Linked DNA regions of Elephas maximus indicus. The main gene of each other region encodes a partner of the protein of the gene in region 2 in a complex. Links are inferred from orthologs where the notes say so. Each region holds a gene or a part of one and is shown on either strand. Other genes may lie near its edges.

What was found.
Region 1: DDX46 (region 2) and HTATSF1 share a complex: the UniProt entries of both Homo sapiens proteins name them as parts of the 17S U2 SnRNP complex. The link is inferred for Elephas maximus indicus from reciprocal best matches to the Homo sapiens genes DDX46 and HTATSF1.
Region 3: DDX46 (region 2) and SF3A3 share a complex: the UniProt entries of both Homo sapiens proteins name them as parts of the 17S U2 SnRNP complex. The link is inferred for Elephas maximus indicus from reciprocal best matches to the Homo sapiens genes DDX46 and SF3A3.

Annotation. Positions count from the first base shown.
Region 1 is NC_064846.1:19,395,172-19,403,098, reverse strand, and holds the start of HTATSF1 (HIV Tat-specific factor 1), read left to right. Parts: upstream 1-4,920; 5' UTR 4,921-5,091; intron 5,092-5,179; exon of another isoform or gene 5,180-5,278; 5' UTR 5,279-5,287; coding exon 5,288-5,473; intron 5,474-7,927. UniProt on the Homo sapiens protein: Component of the 17S U2 SnRNP complex of the spliceosome, a large ribonucleoprotein complex that removes introns from transcribed pre-mRNAs.
Region 2 is NC_064820.1:147,205,511-147,213,162, forward strand, and holds the start of DDX46 (probable ATP-dependent RNA helicase DDX46), read left to right. Parts: upstream 1-4,586; 5' UTR 4,587-4,815; coding exon 4,816-4,832; intron 4,833-6,264; coding exon 6,265-6,453; intron 6,454-7,652. UniProt on the Homo sapiens protein: Component of the 17S U2 SnRNP complex of the spliceosome, a large ribonucleoprotein complex that removes introns from transcribed pre-mRNAs.
Region 3 is NC_064821.1:79,566,954-79,574,569, reverse strand, and holds the start of SF3A3 (splicing factor 3A subunit 3), read left to right. Parts: upstream 1-4,550; 5' UTR 4,551-4,664; coding exon 4,665-4,760; intron 4,761-4,979; exon of another isoform or gene 4,980-5,023; coding exon 5,024-5,071; intron 5,072-7,616. UniProt on the Homo sapiens protein: Component of the 17S U2 SnRNP complex of the spliceosome, a large ribonucleoprotein complex that removes introns from transcribed pre-mRNAs.

The DNA.
Region 1 (7,927 bases), on a different chromosome or scaffold from region 2:
ATATGGCATGGATCATCCCTTACCAAGATCAGAGAGAGAAGAATGAAGCAGCTATCCAGAGAGAAGCAGGATGTCTGGGTTCCAACTGGCTCCTCCTCCTAGGTACAGTACCTCCTCATGAGGCCCATCTGCACTCCAGTGCTGGAGTTTCAGCAGCTACCCCCTCTATAGTAATAAAAACAAAAACCCCAAAAAAGCTAGAAATAGAACTACCATACAATCCAGCAATCCCACTCCTTGGAATATATCCTAGAGAAATAAGAGCCTTTACACGAACAGATATATATGCACACCCATGTTCATCGCAGCACTGTTTGCAATAGCAAAAAGATGGAAGCAGCCAAGGTGTCCATCAATGGATGAATGGTTAAATAAATTATGGTATATTCACACAATGGAATACTACGCATCAATAAAGAACAATGATGAATCCGTGAAACATTTCATAACATGGAGGTATCTGGAAGGCATTATGCTGAGTGAAATTAGTCAGTTGCAAGACCACTATTATAAGAACTCAAAAAATAGTTTAAACAGAGAAGAAAATATTCTTTGATGGTTATGAGAGAGGGGAAGGAGGGAGGGAGAGGAGTTTTCAGTAATTAGATAGTAGATAAAAACTATTTTATGTGAAGGAAAAGAAAACACACAATACAGGAGAGGTCAACACAACTGGACTAAACCAAAAGCAAAGAAGTTCCCTGAATAAACAGAATGCTTCGAAGGCCAGAGTACCAGGGGCGAGGGTTTGGGGACCACGGTTTCAGGGGACATCTAAGTCAATTGGCATAATAAAATCTATTAAGAAAACATTCTGCATCCAACTTTGGAGAGTGGTATTTGGGGTCCTAAATGTTAGCAAGCAGCCATCTAAGATGCATCTATTAGTCTCAACCCACCTGGATCAAAGGAGAATGAAGAACACCAAAGACACAAGGTAATTCCGAGCCCAAGAGACAGAAAGTGCCACATAAATCAGAGACTACATCAGCCTCAGGCCAGAAGAACTAGATGGTGCCTGGCTACAACCGATGATTGCCCTGACAGGGAACACAACGGAGAACCCCTGAGGGAGCGGGAGAGCAGTGGGATGCAGACCCCAAATTCTCGTAAAAAGACCAGACTTAATGGTCTGACTGAGACTGGAAGGACCCCAGTGGTCATGGCCCCCAGACCTTCTGTTAGCCCAAGACAGGAACCATTCCTGAAGCCAACTCTTCACACAGGGACTGGACTGGACTATGGGGTAGAAAATGATACTAGTGAGAAGTGAGCTTTTCGGATCAAGTAGACACATGAGACTATGTAGGCAGCTCCTGTCTGGAGGGGAGATGAGAGGGCAGAGGGGGTCAGATGCTGGCCGAATGGACATGAAAATAGAATGGAGGGAAGGAGTGTGCTGTCTCATTAGGGGGAGAGCAACTAGGAGTATATAGCCAGGTGTACATAAATTTTTGTATGAGACACTGACTTGATTTGTAAACTTTCACTTAAAGCACAATAAAAAATTTAAAAAAGATGATAGCCTTGGAAACCCTATGGGGCAATTCTACTCTGTCCTACAGGATTGCTATGAGTTGTAATTGACTTGATGACACCCAAAAACAACTTGTTACCTTGAGTGCTCCTGTGACTTGCAAAAAATCTTGAAAAAGGTTGAGAAGACAGGGATGGTAGCAAAGCAAAAAAACCTGTTGCCATTGAGTCTATCCTGGCTCATGGCAACCCCATGTGTTACAGAGTAGAACTGCCCCATTGAGTTTTCTTGGTTGTAATCTTTATGGAAACAGATTACCAGTCCTTTCTTCTGTGGTGCTGCTGGGTGGGTTCAACCTAACCACCAATCTTGAGGTTAGCAATTGAGTACAAGCCGTCTGTGCCACGCAGGGACCTTTGGATGCTACCAGAGTATCTCAATTACTAGGGAGTTATTCTATAAATGGAGTCCACAGGTAGTGCAAACAGTTAACATGCTTGGCTGATAACTGAAAGGTAGGAGGTTCAAACCCACGAAAAGGTACCTCAGAAGAAAGGCCTGGCGATCTACTCCTGAAAAATCAGCCATCGAAAACCCTATGGAGCACAGTTGTACTACGAAACACATGGGGTTGCCATCAGTCAGAATCGGGTTAACAGCAACTGCTTTTATTCTACAAATACCCAGAAAAATAAGAACAAGAACCCAGCTTCCCAGAGACAATAACATTGTTAGAAATATAAATGTCAGAGTCCAGCACAACTCGATGGTGCCCAACTACCACCACCAACTGCTCTGAGAGGTCTCACAAAAAAGACCAATGCTTCTGGTTTGACACAGACTAGAGAAATCCTGAGAGTATGGCACCTGGATACCTTTTTAGCTGAGTAGTCACTCCTGAAGCTCACCCTTTGGGCAAGGATTAGACAAGCCCATAAAACAAAAGGAGACTAAATGGACACACCAGCCCAGGGGCAAGGACAAGAAGGCAGGAGGTGACAGGAAAGCTGGTAACGGGGAACCCAAGGTTGAGAAGAGTAGAGTGTTGACATGTCACGGGGTCGGAAACCAATGTCACAAAACAATATGTGTACTAATTGTTTAATGAGAAATTAGTTTGCTCTGTAAACCCTCATCTAAAGTACAATTTAAAAAAAGAGGAAAATAAATAAAATAGGCTCTCTTGAAAAAAAAAAAAAACAACTGTCAGGTCTCATGGTCAGGTAGAATGTCATTGCAGGCGCAAGGGTGCTTAGCTCCCAAATCCCTTGCTCCGCCATTATGGTAACTCTGACCCTCTGATGCTGCTTTAGCTTCTCCTCTTACTCCGGGGGAATGTCTTCACAGCACTCATCTGTTCTGCTTATTGCCTTCCCTGTGTGGGTCTTCCTGCTTCTCTGCTGCTCTGACCACATCCCACTGTCTGTTCCATAATCATACTCCCTGGGAGAGGCTCTGATGGACTCAGTTAGTCAAACTCAGTCCAGAATGCATAGCTACCCTGCCAGGTCACTTCACAATGTTCTGGCCAGCCTTTGGGCCAGGCTAGCTGGGTCACATGGGACCTAGGCATAAGGAACTTTTTTGGCTACCTGCTTAGAAGAGGACTGTGGGGACAGCAGGGACTCAGAGTCTGCAGGACTGTAGTCCTAAAGGCTGTAGTGCTGTAGGACTGTGTAGCATATCATCACCTATGCTGTGAACTCACTCAGGAATGAAATGGGAACCCAGTTACACATTGCTGGAAACAGCTGTATACTATTTTTGGATAAGAAATCTTTAGCAATGTTTAAAATGAATCTAATAAAACCTGTGTTGTCTATATTATAAAAACGCATGCAACTTCGGTTCTCCAAATAGTCCTCCCCTCCCAAGAACGAGAGCTTCATGAAAAAGATATGCAACTTAAAAAAAAGACAAACTTCTATTTAAAAACTGTTGCTATGGTGGAAACTAGATTGTAAATCTATGTGGGGAGCCAGGATTCTGTAGAACCCAGACTCAACTGCTATGTTTAGAAGCCAAGGTCACTGGGAACATCAAGTCTGAGTTATATTTATGTGTACACATGAGCTTATTATTATTTTTAAATGAGTTAATAAGTCTTTCTAAAATGGGTTTTAATTTTAATACAGCAAACATCAATAAAAAAATTCATATAAACAAGTTATTTGGGGCCTTTGTTAATTTTTGGGTAAAGGGGTCCTGGGACCAAAAAGTTTGAGAACCACTGTTCTCTAGCATTCAATATTAATATCATACCATCTTGAGTCTGTCTCCTCTTAGTTGTGTCTGTCTTGTTAACTGCTGGGTCGCCAGAGCCTAGCACAATGCCTGACACCTAGTAGGCGCTCAACAGCTATTTGTCCAATTAAAAAAGAGAATTCTGAAAATGGCTCTTTTCAACCCCCCCCCCCCCAAAAAATCAAACCCATTGCTGACAAGTCGTTTCCGACTCATCGCGACCTTATAGGACAGAGTGAAACTGCCCCATGGTTTCCAAGGAGTGGCTGGTGGATTTGAACGGCCAACCTTTTGGTTAGCAGCCGAGCTCTTAACTACTGCGCCACCAGGGCTCCTGATTTTCAACAGTGTATCTAATTTCTGAATAAAGTTCTGTTTAGAGGAAAAGCATGTTGTGTCTTTCTAGAAGAAACCCAAAAGAACGGATTCAGTCGCTTGGCTAGTAAAGCCGATGTTTACACTCGGAAGTTCCTTTAAGTTTCAGGTTTGGGATTTGAACATCCCTGAACCCTGGAGTCGCTGAGTCGGAATCGACTCCACGGCAGTGGGTTTTTTTTTTGTGGGGGGGAACCCTGGAGTACATAAGGCAGGCAACTGCCGCCCCGCCTCACTCCCCAGAGTCGATCTCCAGCCCAAGGAAGGAAAGCGAACGAGGGCTGGGGGGCGGGGGGGAAGACCTGGAAAAGAAGGCTGGTCCTTCTACCCATCACTCGTTCATTCATGCACTCACTCACTTGTTCAACGCCCTAAGTACCAACCCCAGTGCTAGGCGTGTAGACTACCGAAATAAACAAGAGCTATTTTTTTAAGCTTCTATACTAACGACACCAGAAACAAATAACCAAAAGACACAGTTCGTGTGCGGGAGAAGCCTTCGGTTGCAGGAGCCGCGTCTCTTTCCCTGGGCTAGGGAAACCTGTCCGGCGGTCCCACCCATTCCCCACGATGTCGCTCGCCGAGAAGGACGATTCCCACGCCTTCGGGGGACCGCCCTCCCAGCCCGAGGTCCCCTAAGAGCGGTGGAACGGCAGGGTGCTGTCGCCCCTCGCCCCGGCCCGCAGGGGGCCCACGGAGCGTCCAAGCACGGGAGCACGCGCCCCCCGACACCCCGCCCCGGCCAAGTGCCACCGCCGGCGCGCAGGCGCATGCTGACGCCATTGGGGGCGTGCCGGCGCGACCCGCGACGTCGCGACGTGCCGACTATGGCGGCTGCGTCAGCTTGAGCGGGGTTCCGTTTGGAAGTCATTTCCTGACGTTGCCGCGGGAGCCGCAGTCGCTTCAGAACCGCTTGGCGGCGGCGGCGGCGGCGGCGGCGGCGGCGCGCGTGCGCTCCCGCGGCGCCCTGGACGGAGGCCGGCAGAGCGAGTCAGGTGGGCGGCGGCGGCGGACGGCGGCGGCACGCGCGCGGCGGGCGGCGGGCGGCTCCGCGTCCCGGGGGCTGCTGGGGCGCCGCGGGAGGCGGGCCGGGGGCGCGGCGGCCGCGCGGACCTCGCCGTCTCTGTGTCCCTCCAGCACATCGCGGCCTCTTTGCTCACGGGGACCCTACCCCGCGGCTAGGTCGGAAACATGAGCGGCAACAACTTGAGTGGGAACGACGAGTTTGATGAGCAGTTGCGGATGCAAGAATTGTACGGAGACCCGAAGGACGGCGACCCCCAGGAAGATCCCGGCGGAGAAGCCGATTCTTTGGGGCAACAGCCGACTGACACCCCCTACGAGTGGGATCTAGACAAGAAAGCTTGGTTCCCGAAGGTAAAGAGTGACATGGGTGCCACTGCAGAGCGGGCCAACCTTGCGGGACACTCCTTTTACATTTTCTCTGCTGAGATCCTGAGTTAGAGTCCCATGGATAGAGACATTGCTTTTTGTTGTGTCTGTTGTAGAACCGATGTGTAAAACCGGTTGCCGTCTAGTAGATTCCGACTTAGCGACGCTATGCCTAGGTACAAAATTTAGTAGGAAAGGAAAGAGTGGCGCAAAGTTCATTCAGTAGAGATATGTAAAGGACTACTTTTTTTTTTTTTCATTAATCAAGAAGATGTATTTTGCACATCGTCCATAAACTAAAACTCTGAATTCCCTGGATAAGTGAGGTTGGCTACCTGAGATCAGCAGCTACTAAATTTGTTCTTGGTGGTTTTCCTTTTTGCAATAAAAAGCAGTCACTAATGTAATAACCAACTGTGACCTTCATATGTAAAACTAGTAAGGCACAGAAGAGACTTAAGGATTACATTTGTGACATCTCCCTAAAGATTTACGTTTCTTTACACACCGGTTCATCTCAAAGCGACCCTATAGATGAATAGATGTGTAAAGGAGCATAAATCTTTAGGGAGATGTCACAAATGTAATCCTTAAGTCTTTTCTGTGCCTTGTTAGTTTTCTCTGTGAAGGTCATAGTTGGTTATTACATTAGTGACTGCTTTTTATTGCAAAAAGGAAAACCACCAAGAACAAATTTAGTAGCTGTTGGTCTCCGGTAGCCAACCTCACTTATCCTGGGAATTCAGAGTTTTAGTTTATGGACGATGTGCAAAATGCATCTTCTTGATCAGTTTTTTTTTAAGTAGCCATTTATATATCTTCACTGAATGAACTTTGCGCCACTCTCTTCTTCCCTACTAAATTTTGTACCTCGGCATGTATGGTAGAGCCATAAAAGCACAAAATGTGGATGGAAGAGTTCTGCGTATGTTTGTTTGAAGTACTTGGAACATATTAGGTATTTTCTGTCAGCTCGGAAGTAAAATAACTAGTGTTAAACTTGGTTCAGTAAGCATGGTGGTAAAAGTACCCTGTTAATCTAAGCGTCATATGGATGGGAAGAAAAGGATATGATAGCACACTAATTGACTTGGAAGCCAATGATAAAAAAAAGTATCTCCGTGGTGTAACTTGACTGTTATTGAAAATGTTCTTCATTCCAACTTTTTTCTTTCTTGTTTCATATTTGTCTGTATATTCTAATCCTACCAAATTGTTAAGATTTACTATTTCGCTCCTCTAGTGGCAGTGCCAGCTGGGGTACAAATTTGGTTTCTTCCGCCTTCGGAGTACTTTTAACGGTAGTCTGGTAATGGATTAATTTGTGACTCTGTTTTTTATGCTGTGGACGCCCATAGTTCTTCAAACTTTTTTTGTTTCCTAATTGCTATGTATGCCTAATAATCGATTGGCAAGAAGATATAACAACATTTTTTTCTTCGGGCAGTAATGCTTTTCCCTAAAAGTCAGGTAGATCGATGTGAGTTGGGTTTGTTTGACACTAAACGATCTTGTGATTCAATTAGTGATAGAGTTAAAATGAATATTGAGTTTTACCATTCTGTGTACGCTAAATCAGGATTCCATTACTGCATGCTCTCTGCATGCAGATACTTAAGTAGTTAGTGTACCTATACACTTGTGTGACAGAAACCCTGGTCGGGTAGTGGGTAAGTGCTGTGGCTGCTAACCAAAGGGCTGGCAGTTCGAATCTGCCAGGCGCTCCTTGGAAACTCTAGTGGGCAGTTCTATTCCGTCCTATAGGGCCACTATGAGTCGGAATCGACTCGATGGCACTAGGTTTGGTTTTTTGGTTTATACGCTCTTGTGTCTATATAGTAAAAGAAAATTTGATTCTGTGTCTTAGGTTATTTGTATGTTTGTCTACAGCATTTCAGGTTGACTGTTGGTTTTTGATCTGCTTTACTGTTAACTGCTCCTTCATTACATGTACCTGTGGTCTTATTCAAGTAGAATGTGGAGAAGAAGTAATTTATAAATGCAACAACTAAAAAAGGTGTCAACATCAATTTACAATGCCTTAATAGTATCTCAGACTTTTGTGTTAATAATCCAAGTACCCGTGTTTCTTTATTCTTTATCATTTCAGGCACAGTGTACTATTTAAGGTAACTAATCTTGCATTAAGGATCCCTGGTGGCACAGTGGTTAAGCGCTCAGCTGCTACCTGAAAGGTCGGCTGTTCGCACCCACCAGCCACTGTAGGGGAGGAGAAGGCTGTGGCAGTCTGCTTCCTTAAAGATTATAGCCTTGGAAGCCCTATGGGGTAGTTCTACTCTGTCCTATATGGTTGCCATGAATTGGAATCGACTTCATTGCAACGGGTTTGGTTTTTTGGAATCTCGCATTTACGCTTTAGTTAGTACAAGTGTTACCCACAGAAAGCCTTCTATGTTAATTCGTGCGACTGAATATGCT
Region 2 (7,652 bases):
GATTCTTGCAGCTTATTAATTTTTCCACTATGTTCTTGAATAATCTTTTTGATTTCTTCAACTGGTTTATCAGCGTGTTCCTTCGCTTTTTCTGTAAATTGCCTTATTTCATTTCTGAGGTCATCCCTGATTCTTGAAGCATTCTGTAAATTAGTTTTTTATATTCTGCATCTGGCAATTCCAGGATTGTATCTTCATTTGGGAAAGATTTTGATTCTTTAATTTGGGGAGTTGTAAAAAAAATTTTTTTTTTTTTTAGAAGCAATCATGGTCCGCTTCTTTATGTGGCTTGATATCGACTGCTGTCTCCGAGCCATCTCTAAGATATTGTAATGATTTATTTTATATTTGCTCACTGAGTCTTATCTTGTTTTGTTTTCTTTCAATATACGTAGATGGGCTACTAGATTGCGCTGTCTTGATTATTGTAGCCTTTGAATCACTTATGTCCTATTACCAGCTGGTTTGGGTTGTTAGCAGATATATAAGCCTAAGAGTCCATTCACTATTCTTGAGTAGAATCTGATTTTGGGTTACCAATTGTGTGGTGTAGACTATCACCTATTCACTTAAAGGAGTAGTGGTGATAGTCGTGTGCACCAGATCCTAGTAGCGGCAGGGGGTCACACTCCAGGGGGGGCAGGATGCTGACAGGCTTCCCCCAAGTGCCATTGAGGTAGGTGTGTCTCTATTCCTAAAGCACTTTGGTGGGTGTGCTCTGCAGCTGTACCTTAGGCACCCAATGCATATACCTCTACAGATTGGGAGGTGTCACTATCCTCAGACCCCTATGGCAGGAGGCTAGGTGGTTTGGGTGGAGCTTCAGCCCTCAGTTCCCCATTGTGGGTCAGTGAAGGCTCTGTTTAATAGGTAGAGATATCAGACCAGGGAAACTTGTCTTTCCAGTAATGGGATAAAACAATTACAGTCAGATCACTATCAGAATTGCCTTTGCATTATAATAGCCACCTTGTTGCCTGTGGGGATGAAAGCCCTAGATCGTGGATCTCATATGCTTGGCTGGAGCTGGTTCTGTGTTTTTATTCCAATTTCAGGAAGTCAGGGAAGGATTTTTGGTCCCTGTTTTTTTTGTAGCTGCTTCTCTCAGGCCAGGAGAATAGGTTAGGAAAAGACAACAAAACAAAAAATTGCAGAGCACTTCACTCTCTGGCCCAGGAAATTCCAATGTTAATGAAGTGGCCTGGGAAGAAGATGGGAGGGATCAGATAGATAGGAGAGAGTAGCACCCAGGAATATAGACCAAGTTACTTATCTTACTTAGTGATGACTGTTTTATCTGAGATTCCGGAGGGGTGTATAGCCTGTGTGTGTTGGCTGGCTGGGTCGAGATTGTCCCAGAGGGTCAGGCCGGTGTCCTGTGCTTGTGCTGTCTCAGAAGCCGTGGTCAGTTCCTCTGCTTCCAGTGCAAAGCCCAGCGCCAAGTTTCCCCAGCTGGGACGACACACTCCAGGCTCCAAAACCAGTCGCTACCTCCCGGTGACTTCTCCTGTCAGCCACGTTGCTGCGCTGCCTGCGTGCACTGGCTGGGCTTCCCCCGAGGTCATTTCTGGGGGCTAGGGCTGCGTCCCGTGTTCGCACCGTCTCAGGATGCCGTGCTAAGCTCTGCTGCGCCCAGTACAAAGCCCAGCGCCAAGGTTTCCTGACTGGGATGCTGGCTCTTGGCTCCGAAAACAGTCTCTGCTTGCTGGTGGTTGCTGGTTCTCTCGTTAGCCGTTGTCAGTGTGCAGCCTGCTTGCGCTGGCTGAGTCTGTCACTCAGGTCAACTCTTTAGATCTGTGTTTGACAGTCAGGGCTTGTAGATTGTCATGTATGTGATCTATTCACTTGCTTTTCTGAGTCTTTGTTGCAAGAGGGATCCTAGGTAGCTTCTACCTAGTCAGCCATCTTGGCCCCGCCTCTTGAAATGTTTTTTGATGATGAATGCAATGCCATTCTTCTTCAAGTTGTCATTCCCAGCGTAGTAGACCATATGATTGTTTGGTTCAAAATGGCCAATACCAGTCCATTTCAGCTCACTAATGCCTAGGCTATTGATGTTAATGAGTTCCATTTCATTTTTGACAACTTCTAATTTTCCTAGATTCATACTTCATAATTCCACGTCCTCATTATTAATGGATGTTCGCAGCTGTTTCTTCTCATTTTGAGTCATGTCACTTCAGCAAATGAAGGTTCCAAAAGCTTGACTCCATCTACATCATTAAGATCAACTACTTTGAAGAGGCAGCTCTGTCCCTTTCACATTTTGAGTGCTTTCCAACCCGAGGGTCTCATCTTCCAGCACGATATGAGACAATGTTCTGCTCTTATTCAAAGGTTTTCACTGGCTAATTCTTTTGAATTTAGCTGGGTCCTTCTTCCTACTTTGTGTTAGTCTGAAAGCTCAGCTGAAACCTGTATGCCATAAGTGGCCCTGTTGGTGTTGAATACTGGTGGCATAGCTTCCAGCATCATGGTGACATGCAAGCCCCCACCATAGGACAAACTGACAGACATATGGGGGACAATCCACAGTAGCTATTGCCAAAAACTGGGAGTCATCTTTATTCCTCCTTTTCCCTCACAGTATACATTCAGTTTATTACGTAGTGTTTTGAGAGCTGCCTCCAGAATATATCCAAAATCTGACCACTTTTCTCTGTCTTTATAGTTTAAGTCAATAGTGGTTTCCTTTTGCTCTTAGACTGAATCCACACTCCTTACCTTCAGTCCACATCCAAGCAATTGTAAACTGTTTCAACTTACAATGTCTCTGATAACCTGACACTCCTTAGTTTCCATCTTGTCACACAATAGTGCAGGCCTTCCTCATCCTTGTCACGGACTGCCAGACCTTCCAGATTCTTCTCACTGTTGCCGGAGATAAGCACTATGCCACGAAGGAAGAGCAGAAACTCATTTTGGAATCTTACCTGTTGGTGTCTTGTTATTTTTAATCACCTTTATTGAGGTAAAATTTACATACTACAAGGTGCACCAATTTCAAGTGAATGAATTTTTACAAGGGAACATATCGATACAACTGATGCCAGAATTATGATACAGAATGTTTCTGTCATTCTTAGGTGTAAGAAAGTATAATAGCCCAGACTCATAAAGCAAGGGACTCTTCCTTAGGGACTCTATGACAGTTTTCTACAGAAACAACTGTTAGTAACAGGTCAGTTTCCTCTAGGCCAGTCATCTTCTACCTTGACTGTACTTTATAATCAACTGTGAAGCTTAAACATTCCCAACGCACAAGAAGCAACTTGGACCAATTACATCAAAATATTGGGATGGATCCCCGGCATCCACACTTTTAAAAAATCTTCTTAGTGCAGCAAATGTTGAGAACCTTTATCATCTTTTGCTAATGTACTTTTCAGCATCTTCTCCTTCAGATCTCACCTCATAGAACACTTCTAAGACATAGGTCCCCAGGTTTCGGAAAATTCCACCACCTGAAGCAGCTTGCTGGCATGCCCATAACCTTACATTAAAATCCTGGTTCCCCTCTTCTTAACAGCTACCCCAAACTAGAAGAGATTGGTGGAAACTGGTTTAGGAGCCATGTTGACATTCAGGATAATCTTTTAGACCCCATACATACTAACTCCTCTGGATGGAGTTTAACCGCCATTTTCTGACGATGCCATGGATGAAGTTATATGCAAACCCCATTGTGCTAGCATAGTATGATTAAAAATGTTGTTGATAGAACTTGTATGAGCTTCCTACTTGTAACCCCCTGAAAAATAACCCTCCCCTCGCCCTCGCTGAGCAGTCTCCGTGGCAGCAACCTGACTCTTCCTTTCCTTGAGCAACCAAATAAAGGCTCCTTTCTACTCTTTCACTTTGGCCTCTCTTTATTGGCTGAGGTGAGTGGTGACAAGCAGAACCTGGGGCTTCTACCGTGCACAATTTCCACAGAGAATTCTTTCCCTGAATCTCTCTTCTATATTAGGTCTTTCCTTGCTGTTACTACCTTTGCTTGTGTTTTTAGTAATGTCTGTTGCCCCACTAGACCATAAGCTCTCCATGTCTGGCACATAATAATACATGTAAATAAATGAATGCATGTGTAAATGGGAAACCCTGGTGGCGTAGTGGTTATGTACTACAGCTGCTAACCAAGAGGTCGGCAGTTGGAATCCGCCAGGCGCTCCTTGGAAACTATGTGGGACAGTTCTACCCTGTCCTATAGGGTTGCTATGAGTCGGAATCGACTCGACGGCAGTGGGTTTGGTTTTTTGGTTTATGTATAAATGAATGATTGTAACATTGTTTTAAAAAAAACCCAGGGCCGTCGAGTCGATTCTGACTCATAGCGACCCTATAACATTGTTTAGCGTGCAGTAAAAACGGGACGATGCAGGACCCGGCAGTGTTCTGTTCTGTTGTAAATAGGGTCGCTATGGGACCTGGGTGTCAGGGACTATGTAGGGAAAACCCAACCCAGCCATTTCTTTTCGGCGCAGCCGGTGCTGTCCCGCCTCCAAGCGAGAGGCGGCGCTGTGGAGATGCAGCAGTTTCCGGCCGGCTTTTCCTTTCCTTCTGCCGCCGGCGCCGGAACTTCCTGCTTTCGTTGGCCGCTCTGGGATGGCCGCCCCCACAGTAGCTGTTGCTATCTCTTAGTGGTGCCGGAACTTCCTGCTTTCGTTGGCCGCGCTGGGATGGCCGCCACCACAGTAGCTGTTGCTAGCTCTTAGTGGTGGCCCTTGCCCGGCTCGCCGACGGCAGTGCAGCTAGCCCTTTTGTTCTCTTCTCCATCGCGCTGTCCCGAAGGGCGTCGGCTTTCCCGCAGCGAGCAGTATGGGCCGGGAGTCACGGTGAGGCAACGCGCCCAGCGGGGGTGCGGGCGAGTGGCTTCTTCGGTGGAGGGAAGAGGCGGGAGTTGAGGTGGCCAAGGGGCCAGGTCTGGTCCAGCGCGGCCCCACGTGCGGCCGGCGCGGTCCCGCGGCTGCTGGTGGGGCTCGGGGCCCTCGGCTGAGGGAATGGCTGTACTTGATCTGGCTACGGGCACAGGAGTCTCCTGCATTATCGTCAGCCGATTCGAGCCCCTGGAACGGGAACAGCCCTCCCGGGTCGACTATGATTGAGCGCCACTTTCACGCAACCAACCTTGATCATTTCAGTCAGTAGTGATCCCTACTGCTTAGGGTTTGCAACATTTCCTAAGCGCCCTTCAGTCTGTATATTCGTTCTCTGTGCGTGTGTGATATTTTCCAAGTCAGTTGCAAGGAGCATGTGCACATTTTTACATAACCTACAACACCGTATAAGACTAAGCTTTAATTGAGCCACAATAAGTACATGTTACATGGGCATTTATTCTGAAAATAGGTTTCATATTTCTCTGTTACCTGGTTTCAAACTTTTTGAAACCGAAGATTGAGAGATCTTGTTAGGACTGTGAGATCTCTTCAGAACTTTAGATTGTTCATAACTGGTTCAGCACCTTGAGATTTTTATCTTAAAGATGACTGTTTGCAATGTGTTTAGCAGTGATTGAAAGAGCTTTTATTTCTAGGGACCATGAGGAGTTTTTTTAAAAATGTTAACTGTACTTTATTGGGGTATAATTATCATTCAGGGAAATATACAAAGCTTAAGGGTAGAGCTTGATGAAATTTAGCAAATATATAAACCATGTAATCATCGCCTGGGTAAGAACAATGTCACTCTGGCCGCCTTGACTTTTTTGCTATTCCTTGAGCACACCAATTAAGCTTCCTCTTCAGGATCTTTGCGCTTACAGTGCCTTTTGCTTTGAAAGTTCTTCTGCCATATATCTGTATGGTTCCTCCTGTTACTTCCTTCAAAGCCTGCATAACAAATGTTACTTTATTATGGAGGCCTTCCGTAACCACCTGATTTAAAATTGCAAACCTCTCAAGTCACATTATCTTTCCTTTTCCTTTACTCCGATCTATTTTTCTTCATAGCAACACTTGACATATTGTACGTTTATTTCTTTACGTGTCTATTAACTCTTCCTCCACCAAATATAAGCAGCCTGTAGCCCAAAGGCAGAGGCTTGGTCTGTTTTCTTCACTTTCCTTGCTTCTCTTTCAACAGTTTTCCTCCTCTCAACATGTGATGTAGCAAAAAGGTTCATTCTTTACCCCCAATTTAAAAAAGGATTGTGAAAAGAATCTTTTCAGTTTTTAATATGTCTGCTGCTATTTTGGAGGGAAATGTAATAAAATAAAATAGACTCTGTGTGAGCTAAGCTTAATATTTGAAGTAATAATATTCTAGCCACTATCGGAAGCGATCAGCATCACGTGGACGCTCTGGAAGTCGATCTAGAAGTCGTTCTCCCTCTGACAAAAGAAGTAAACGTGGAGATGACAGACGGTCTAGAAGTAGAGATAGAGATAGAAGGAGAGAGAGATCTCGTAGCAGGGATAAAAGAAGATCTCGGTCAAGAGACAGGAAGCGTCTGAGGTAAGACATAAATCTCTAAAAAACTGATGATAAATTAAGCTTCTCCAAAAGTGTGTTTTGGGCTAGAATTTAGTAGCTCCTTTGTAGACCCTCTGCTTTAACCCCAGGTTATTTGATTAGACATAGAAGTAATTCAGCTAGACCAAAAATTCTCAGACAGTATTTTAAGTTCGGAAACATCAGGCTGTCTCCTCTCACCCAGAGAGAGCCCTTAAAGGCCCCTGAGAGAGGGGGAAAAAAAAAATAAGGAGAAGGTAAGGTAATATGACTAGAGGATTCAATTTTAATTATATCCCAGCAGAACTGGAAACTGTTCAGAGCAGCCACTAAACCAGGCAGGAGAAAGAAACAGAGGGCAGAGCCATTTCCAAACCCTGCTTGTTATCTTAAAACATTTTAAATAACTCTTAGATTTAAACCAAAGAATGCCTTAATTTTAATTGTCCTTTTACTTGTTGACATGCTCGCTGGCACCAGTTAAGCAGCCTTAAATTTTTCTAGAAGTGAACATCAGTTTAAGTAAAAGTACTCTACCCTACACCAAAGATAACTTTTCTAAAACAGTTTCTCATTAAATCAGAAGGGAAAAAAAGGCAAGTTTGTACAGGTGCTATGAACTAATGACAGAAAGAACCTTGACTTTATCTTTTTCAAACATTTGGAGAAGAGAGTGCAAAGGTAGTACATGGCACTTAGGGAAAATATTCACCCGTGAGAACGTGGTTAATGCTAACTAATTCAGTTTTATATTTGGTCCCAGGAACAGTGTCATACAGTTCAGTCAAGTACACATTAAGTGAAATTGATCATTTAAGATTTGATTTTTGACTTCCTTCTGTGAAGGTTGAATAATGAGATTTTAGGTAAAGAAGGATTTTGAGATGATATAGCGAAGTCATGGTATTTTATAGATGAGGAAGCCAGTACCCAGAGAGATAGCAGAGTCTGCCCTATGTCATGTCGCTAGTTAGTAGCAATGGGTTTTTAAATCTTCAGATCAAGTAGCCCTGGTGGTGGAATGGTTAAGTGCTTGGCTACTAACTGAAAGGTTGCAGTTTGAACCTACGAGCTGCTCCGCGGGAGGAAAGACCTGACAATTTGCTCCTGTAAAGATTATAGCGTAGGAAACCCTATGGGGCAGTTCTACTCTATCCTATAGGGTCACTATGATTCAAAATCGACAGCACACAACAACAACA
Region 3 (7,616 bases), on a different chromosome or scaffold from region 2:
GCCCCATTCCAATCCCATCACTAGGGCTGGGGCTGTCTAAGCAGCAGGGCAGGGGTTGCTGGTTGGGGGTGGGGGTCCTAGCGTGCAGGAGCTCTGTGTCCACCGAGTGTCTTCTCATTTCATTTCAGCTCCATTTTACGGAGAGATGGGCAGAGGGGTGGCCATGGGGCTCCCCCCTCCAGATTCTGTAATAAAGCAGTGTGAGAAAGCTCCGGCCTCATGTGTTTGTCTGGGGGAAGGGGAGGGAAGGAAGCTTCCTTTGCGGACCAGGAGATGCTGAAGCTCTTCCTAGACCTCTTCTGTGCGGGGCTGAGAGGGAGGTGGCCTGGACTCAGGGTGGGAAGTCCCTCCCGAAGAAGGAATCCCGAAAGAAGGGTTCCCAGCCACAGCTACCATCCCTCTCAAGCTTAGCGGGCCTCCCTCCTGCTGGCACAGGGCTTTCTCCTCCTTGTGGGGAAAGGAGGGTCAGGGTGGGGGGGGCGGGAGTAGAAGTGGGGTTACCTCTGGTACAGATCGCCCCCACCCCTCACAGCCCTTCTCAAATCCTGCAGAGCACCTCGTCCGGATCCCCAGTCTGAGCCCAGACCCTCAGCCCGCTTTCCCCCTCTTCCCAGGGATTAGCGGGGGCGGCCCGGGATCCGCTCTCGCGGCCGCACGTTTTTTGCCAAAAAAGGCAAGGATGCAGCTGCACGCGCCGCGGGAACATCTGGATCCAATTCCCGGCATGAATGGGTCATGGCCCCGCCCCCTCCCCCGTGATTCACGGGCGGGGGCGTGAATGAGCGTGGAGGGCTAACCCCCGAAGTGGGGAGATGGGGCGGAGCGCTGCACCCCTCACCCAGCGTCCCACGCCGGGGCCCCCAGCCCCCTCGGCGGCCTGCGGTCTGGGCCGCCGCCATCTGACTGGTGGAGGCAGCTTTGCGCGCGCACGCGGCACGCGCGGGCTGATGCGCACACAGAGGACCGCCGGCAGCCGCCCCTCGGTGTGAGGGTGCGGGCGGACCGTGGGCGATCTGTGGGGTGGGGCTCACTCCTAGTCCGGCGGAAACCGCGCGATCAGATGTAGCTCACGTTAAACCTTCCCAGAAACCTGTGGGGCATTACTTCCATTTTACAGAGGAGAAGACCGAGACTCAGGCGGTTGCCCAAAGTCTTGTAGGTAGTCACTAATCCTGGATTCTAATCTGCATTACACTGCCTCCCGGGCCCAGTCCTAAACTATCTGAGGAAAGGGTTGGCATTTTCAACACACCATTCCCAGTGCCCAGTGCGCTTACCATGATTAATAATTGCATGTTTACGTTTTTGTTTCTCTCCTTGACCGTCAGAATTGGGCTGGGGCTTCCCTTGTTTCCCCTTCCATTCCCAGCTCCCGGCACTTACTACAAGTTCGGTGAGTATTTGTCGAGTAGGAGCAGTCCAAGCGTAGAAAACAGGTGGTGCAAAGGCCTGGAGGCCTGAAAACATATGGTGCTTTGGGGAAGCACCAAGTAATTTAATCTGGAAAAAGTGCCAGGAGACTAAAATGGCAGGCAAAGCCCAGGTCACGGAAAGCCAAGTGCCAAGTTAAACAGACCTCACCCTGCGGGTAAAGCAGCTAATGGAAATGTTCAAGCAGGGGCGTGAGATGATCGCAGTTTTGGAAAGATCACTTGGGCTGTGGCATGAATAATGGATTGGAGGAGTAAGATGAGCAAGCTGGTTAGGCGGGTGGTGCAGTGGTCCAGGTGAGAGAGGATGAGGCAGGTGGCAGGTGGCAGTAGGAGTGGAAAAGACAGGACTGATTTGATGGAGTGGGGATAGAAAAGGGGTTTAGGAGGAGGTAGGCATCAAGTTTGAGGCAAAGGGAAGGAATGAATGGCGGTGCTTAAATGTTCCACCCACCTAAGAGGAAGAGATACCCTGGTACGATACCACATTTCATTGATTTCAAGACATTTTCCAGGTTTAAGATCTCAGAATCCTGAGATGCATTTTATAATTGACAGTGTCAATTATAAAACTGGGTCATAATTTGACAGTTTTCCTTTCTTTTTGGAGCTTAAAATAATGGTAAGTTTTACATTTGATGGTATCTCTTATTGGATGAAATAGGACAGATCACCAACCTTACAAAAAATAATAATAATAAACACCCTGAGTTACTCCACTCCAGAATGGAGATTTCTCCCTTCTTTCCTAGGGGCCCAGGAAAAGCCCCAGAGGGCAGCTGTGCCTGGGGTCCCCCATTCTCAAACACTGGAGGTCTTGCTTATATTTTCAGATGCAAATATGATCCTCACAACACCCTCATGAGTAGGCAAGACAAGGGTCATTACCCCCATTTTATTTTTCAAACTTTAAAAACCAGAAGATAATTTTTTTTTTTTTTGCAAAAAGCAACGTGTATTCCTTGTAGAAAAATTGTTATTGTTCTGTGCCCTGAAGTCAATTCCAACTCATAAAAACCAGTCCAGTGCCTACCCTGTGCCTAGCAACCCTATATGACAGAGTAGAACTGCCCCATAGGGTTTCCTAGGCTGTAGTCTTTACGGGAGCAGATCACCAGGTCTTTTCTCCCACAAGCCGCTAGGGGGTTCAATCCACTGACCTTTTGGTTACCAACCAAGCTCTTAACCATTGCTCTGCTGGGGCTCCTTGTAGAAAAATTAGACACTACCAAAGAGTAAAGAGAACAAAAGGTAAAAAAATAACTCCTTGATGCATTACAGCTTTCTAGTCCTTTTTTGTTAAGCATATACATGCATATATATATTTTTTTAGTTTAAATTTATTTTTAAATTAAAAAAATAGTACATGAATACATTAAACAAAACTTTTCACACTGTATTTTGGGTATATACAAAGAAAAACTTTTCTCTCATACCACATGTGCCAGTCCATCTTCTGGAAAACAACCATTGTTTAGTGTTACTTGGATATTCTTACAGAAATCATCTCTGTATATCTTTTATACACACTGTTGAGCATCCACCTTTTTTGACTTTTCCTGGCCATCTTTTCACATGAGTTCACACTGATTTTTTGACAGCTTCATTGAAGTATAATTTACAAACCGTAACATTCACTCATTTTAAATGTATAATTCAATTATTTCTAGTATATTAATAGAGTTGTGGAACTATCACCACCATCCAATTTTAGAACCTTTCCATCACCCCAAAAAGATACTTGGTGTCTATTTGCAGTCACTTCCAGTCTTGCCTCCAACCCCTGGCAACCACTCATCTACTTTCTGTCTCCATGGATTTGCCTTTCTGAACATTTCATATAAATGGAATCATACACTATGTCATTTTAGTATCTAGGTTTTTTTTACTGGCTTTTTTTTTTTTTTTTTTTAACTGGCATTATGTTTTCAAGGTTCCTCCATATTGTAGCATTACGTGGATATGCCGAATTTGGTTTATACACTCACCAGTTTAGGTTGTGTCCAGTTTTTCTGTCAATTGTGAATTATAAACAGATGCCCATATAAGCACACAGCTGTAGGTCTTCATTTCTCTACCTAGAAATGAATATACAGATTTCTTCCCCCTTTTTTTTTCAATGATTGGATGTACTACACTTTATCAATCTAGTCCTCAACTGGAGCCCAGAAACCCTAGTGGTTAAGTGCTACAGCTGCTAATCAAAGGTTGGCAGTTTGAATCCACCAGGAGCTCCTTGGAAACTCCATGGGGCAGTTCTACTCTGTCCTACAGGGTCACTATGAGTCGGAATCAACTCCACCGCAATGGGTTTGGTTGTTTTTGTCTGCTGGAGCCCTGGTGGCATAGTAGTTAAGAGCTTGGCTGCTAAACAAAAGGTTAGCACTTGGAATCCACCAGCCGCTCCTTGGAATCCCTATGGAGCAGTTCTGTTCTTTCCTACAGGGTAGCTATGAGTCAAAATCAACTGGACAGCTAAGGGGTTTTTTGTTTGTTTGTTTTTAAGTCTGCTGCTGTGAACCCTGGTGGCAGAGTGGTAAGAGCCACGTGGGCTAAACAAAAAATTAGCAGTTCGAATCCACAAGTCACGCTTGAAAACACCATGAGATAGTTCTACTCTGTCCTATAGGGTCACAAAGAACCGGAATCAACTCCATGGCAACGAGTTTGGTTTTTGGTTTGGTTGGCACCCCGCTGAAAGGCAATTAAATTGTTTCCATTTGTAAGTTTCTACAAAAAAAAATCTGTTATTATCCCCATTTTACTGAAAAGGACATTGAGGTCCAGAAAAGAGGCAAATGTTGTCAGAGGTCACCCTGAAAGCTAGGGACTCAAGTTCTGATCCTCCAATTCCCATCGCGTGCTCCTCAACTGCTCCTGAATCCAGACAGGATCCCCAGCGGCCCAGACGGCCCCACGAAGCTCCGTGAAGCCCTAAGAAGCCAGCAGCTGAATTCAGGCTCTTGGATTTCCATTCGCCCACCAGAGGAATCTGCAAACCGCTCGGTAGCGGGCCACACACCCCGACCAGCAGGGGGCAATGCTGCCATCGCGATAGCACAGGCTGGCGCTCCTCGCGGTGCCCCTTTTCCTCGAGTCCCCAAGGCACTTCCGGCACTTACGGAACTCTAGTGCAGCCGGACGTGCCGCGTGGGGACGCAGGCGCTCAAGGCGGCGGGAGCTGCTTCTGGCCGCGTCGCTGATCTGAAGTGAGGTACAGCGGCCAAGGGAAAAATGGAGACAATTCTGGAGCAGCAGCGGCGATACCACGAGGAGAGGGAACGGCTCATGGACGTCATGGCCAAAGAGATGCTCACTAAGAAGTCCACGGTGAGTAGGGTCTGGGCCCCTTCCCCGGGTTTAGCCGCCGAGCGCGCTCTTTGGCCTCAGACCCGCCCTCCTCCTGCCCCCCACCCTCCCGGGGGCTCCCTCTCCGAGCTCCGGCCTCGGCAACCTCCTCCTCAGGCCCAGCGCCCCGGCGGCCTCTTCGCTTCTGCCGCTGAACCTGCGAAGGTAAGCTCCGCCCTCGGGCGGCCTTTCCACCCCCAGGCCTGGGACTAACGGCGTCTGTGTCACCGTTTGTCTGTCTTCAGCTCCGGGACCAGATCAATTCCGACCACCGCACACGGGCCATGGAAGATGTGAGTGCTCCGCTGTCCTTTGGTCGGGGGGCGGGAAAGGAGAGGAGCGGGGAGGCGGGCGGAGCACGGGGTCTCACCGGGAGCCCTGGCCAGAGCTCACCTGACTGGCCAGGGTTGTCCGCCTGCAGCCGAACCTGAGGCTCCTGAGCTGCTCCTCCTCACTTTCCTGAGTGGGGAGCGCTTCCTCTTCATTACTCGGAAAGTAATGCCTTCTGTGTCCCTTGGATGTGCGAAAAATAGTGAGGAGGACTCAGTGACTCAGACACAGAAGGTACTGTTGTGTCCCCGCAAAACGAGAATGCTGTGTTAGTGTTTCCCTTCCAGACCTCTCTTTTGAAATGTTTTTGTTTACCAAAGTGCTTTTGCCCAGTTAGATTTTCTTATTTGAAAAAAAGAAAACTAAAGTAAAATGTTGGTAATAAAGTTGGGTGATGGGTAAATGGAGATTCATTATACTACTTTTTCATGTATTTGAAATCTGCTCAGAAAGGATTAAAGGCCTAATTAGATTTTTTTTATTTGCAGGAGATAAACATTACTACCAGTCCTGTCCCTTATCTACATCCCCAAATCCAAAAACAGTTTGTAAATCGATAGGTTTTTTGGTGGCAAAACATAATGTGGCCTCATTTGGCAGCAAAACCTGCCCTGAGCAGATGAGAGGCTTTTTATGGTGTTTCTTATTCCACTTCGCCCTGGTGGCACAGTGTTTAAGCACTTGGCTGCAATTGGCATCCACCAGCTGCTCCTTGGTAACCCTATGGAGCAGTTCCACTCTATCCTATAAGGTGGCTCTGAGTCAGAATTGAGTCAACAGCAACAGGTTTTGTTTTTTTTTTTAGTTTATTATCCCACTTAAGGAGCCATGGTGGGGCAGGGGTTAAGCACTTGGCTGCTAAGAGAAAGGTGGGCCTGTTGACATGGCAATCACTTCTGCTTCCACAAAGATTACAGTTTTGGAAACCCTATGGGGCAGTTCTACTCTATTTTATAGGGTTGTTATGAGTCAGAATCTATTCCACGACAATGAATTTTATGTACTAATTAACCCAATTTGGTATCAATCCAAAGGTTTTAAGTTATGTAAAGATCTTGAAAATTATCTACAAGCCTATATACCACAAAACAATTACTGTTAAAATAAAATTTGTTTACATAGTTTAAATTTTTTTCCAAACTTTTCACCATTTTCCATATTTTTCAATCTAACTGTAGCCCTTTTAAGATTTCGTCAACTGGTTTTGGACCACCACAGGGATGGAACCATTTTTCCAAGCAATTTTGATGCATTTTTATTGTGATTTTTATGTTTTTACTTCTTAAAAATTTCTTTACAATAGAGAGGACTTGTTTATGGTTCTTACTAAGACAGCGTTTGTTTTATTTTAACCCAATCAATATCCGCCTTATTTATCCAGTTTTTAAATATCTCCGCCCTGTTGGGAAGAGTCTCTCAACTCTTTCTTTTGTCTTTACTAGTCTTTTGGTAATTGGCGTAGCCTTATTTCCTTAAATAAAACCTTTTCTTTAACAGATTTATAGAAAAACGCATCAAGTTTTAACTTTTATTTCCATCTGGGTTTGTCCCGTTGTTGTTGTTGTTAGGTGCCATTGAGACAGTTCCGACTCTTAGGGACCTTATGTACAACAGAATGAAACACTGCCCAGTCCTGGGCCATCCTCACAATCTTTGCTATGCTTGAGCCGGTTGTTGCAGCTTCTGTGTTAGTCCAACTCATGGAGGGTCTTCGTTTCTTCCACTGACCCTCTACATTATCAAGCATGATGTCCTTCTCCAGGGACTAATCCCTCCTGATTACACGTCCAAAATACATGAGATGAGTCTCGCCATCCTCACTTCTAAGGAACGTTCTGGCTGTATTTCTTCCAGGACAGACTTGTTTGTTCTTTTGGCAGCCCATGGTAAATTCAGTGTTCTTCGCCAACGGTGTAATTCAAAGGCATCAGTTCTTCAGTCTTGCTTATCTGTTGTTCAGCTTTCGCATGATATGACGTGATTGAAAATATAGTAATCCTCCCTTATCTGCAGGGAATACATTCCAAGATCCCCTGTGGATGCCTGAAACTGGGGATAGTACGGAACCCTATATATACTATTTTTGGTCCTATATATACGTACATAACTATGGTGAAGTTTAATTTATAAATCAGGTACAGTAAGAGATTAGCAACAATAATAAAATAGGATAATTACAATAATATAGTGTAATAAAAGTTATGTGAATGTGGTCCCTGGGCAGGACGGAGTGGGACGGCACAAAATTTCAGTATGCTACTCATATAACACTTTTGGACTGAGGTTGGCCTCAGGTAACTGAAACTGTAGGAAGTGAAACCTTGGGTAAGGAGGGGCCACTGTACCATGACTTGGGTCGGCACACCTTAGTCCTCAAGTGAAATCTTTGCTTTTTAACACTTTAAAGAGGTCTTTTGCAGCAGATTTGTCCTATGCTTCCCTTTGTCACATTCTGGAACAACCAAAGTTTTCACTTTAGGACAAAATTACTCTCTTTTTCCCTTAACA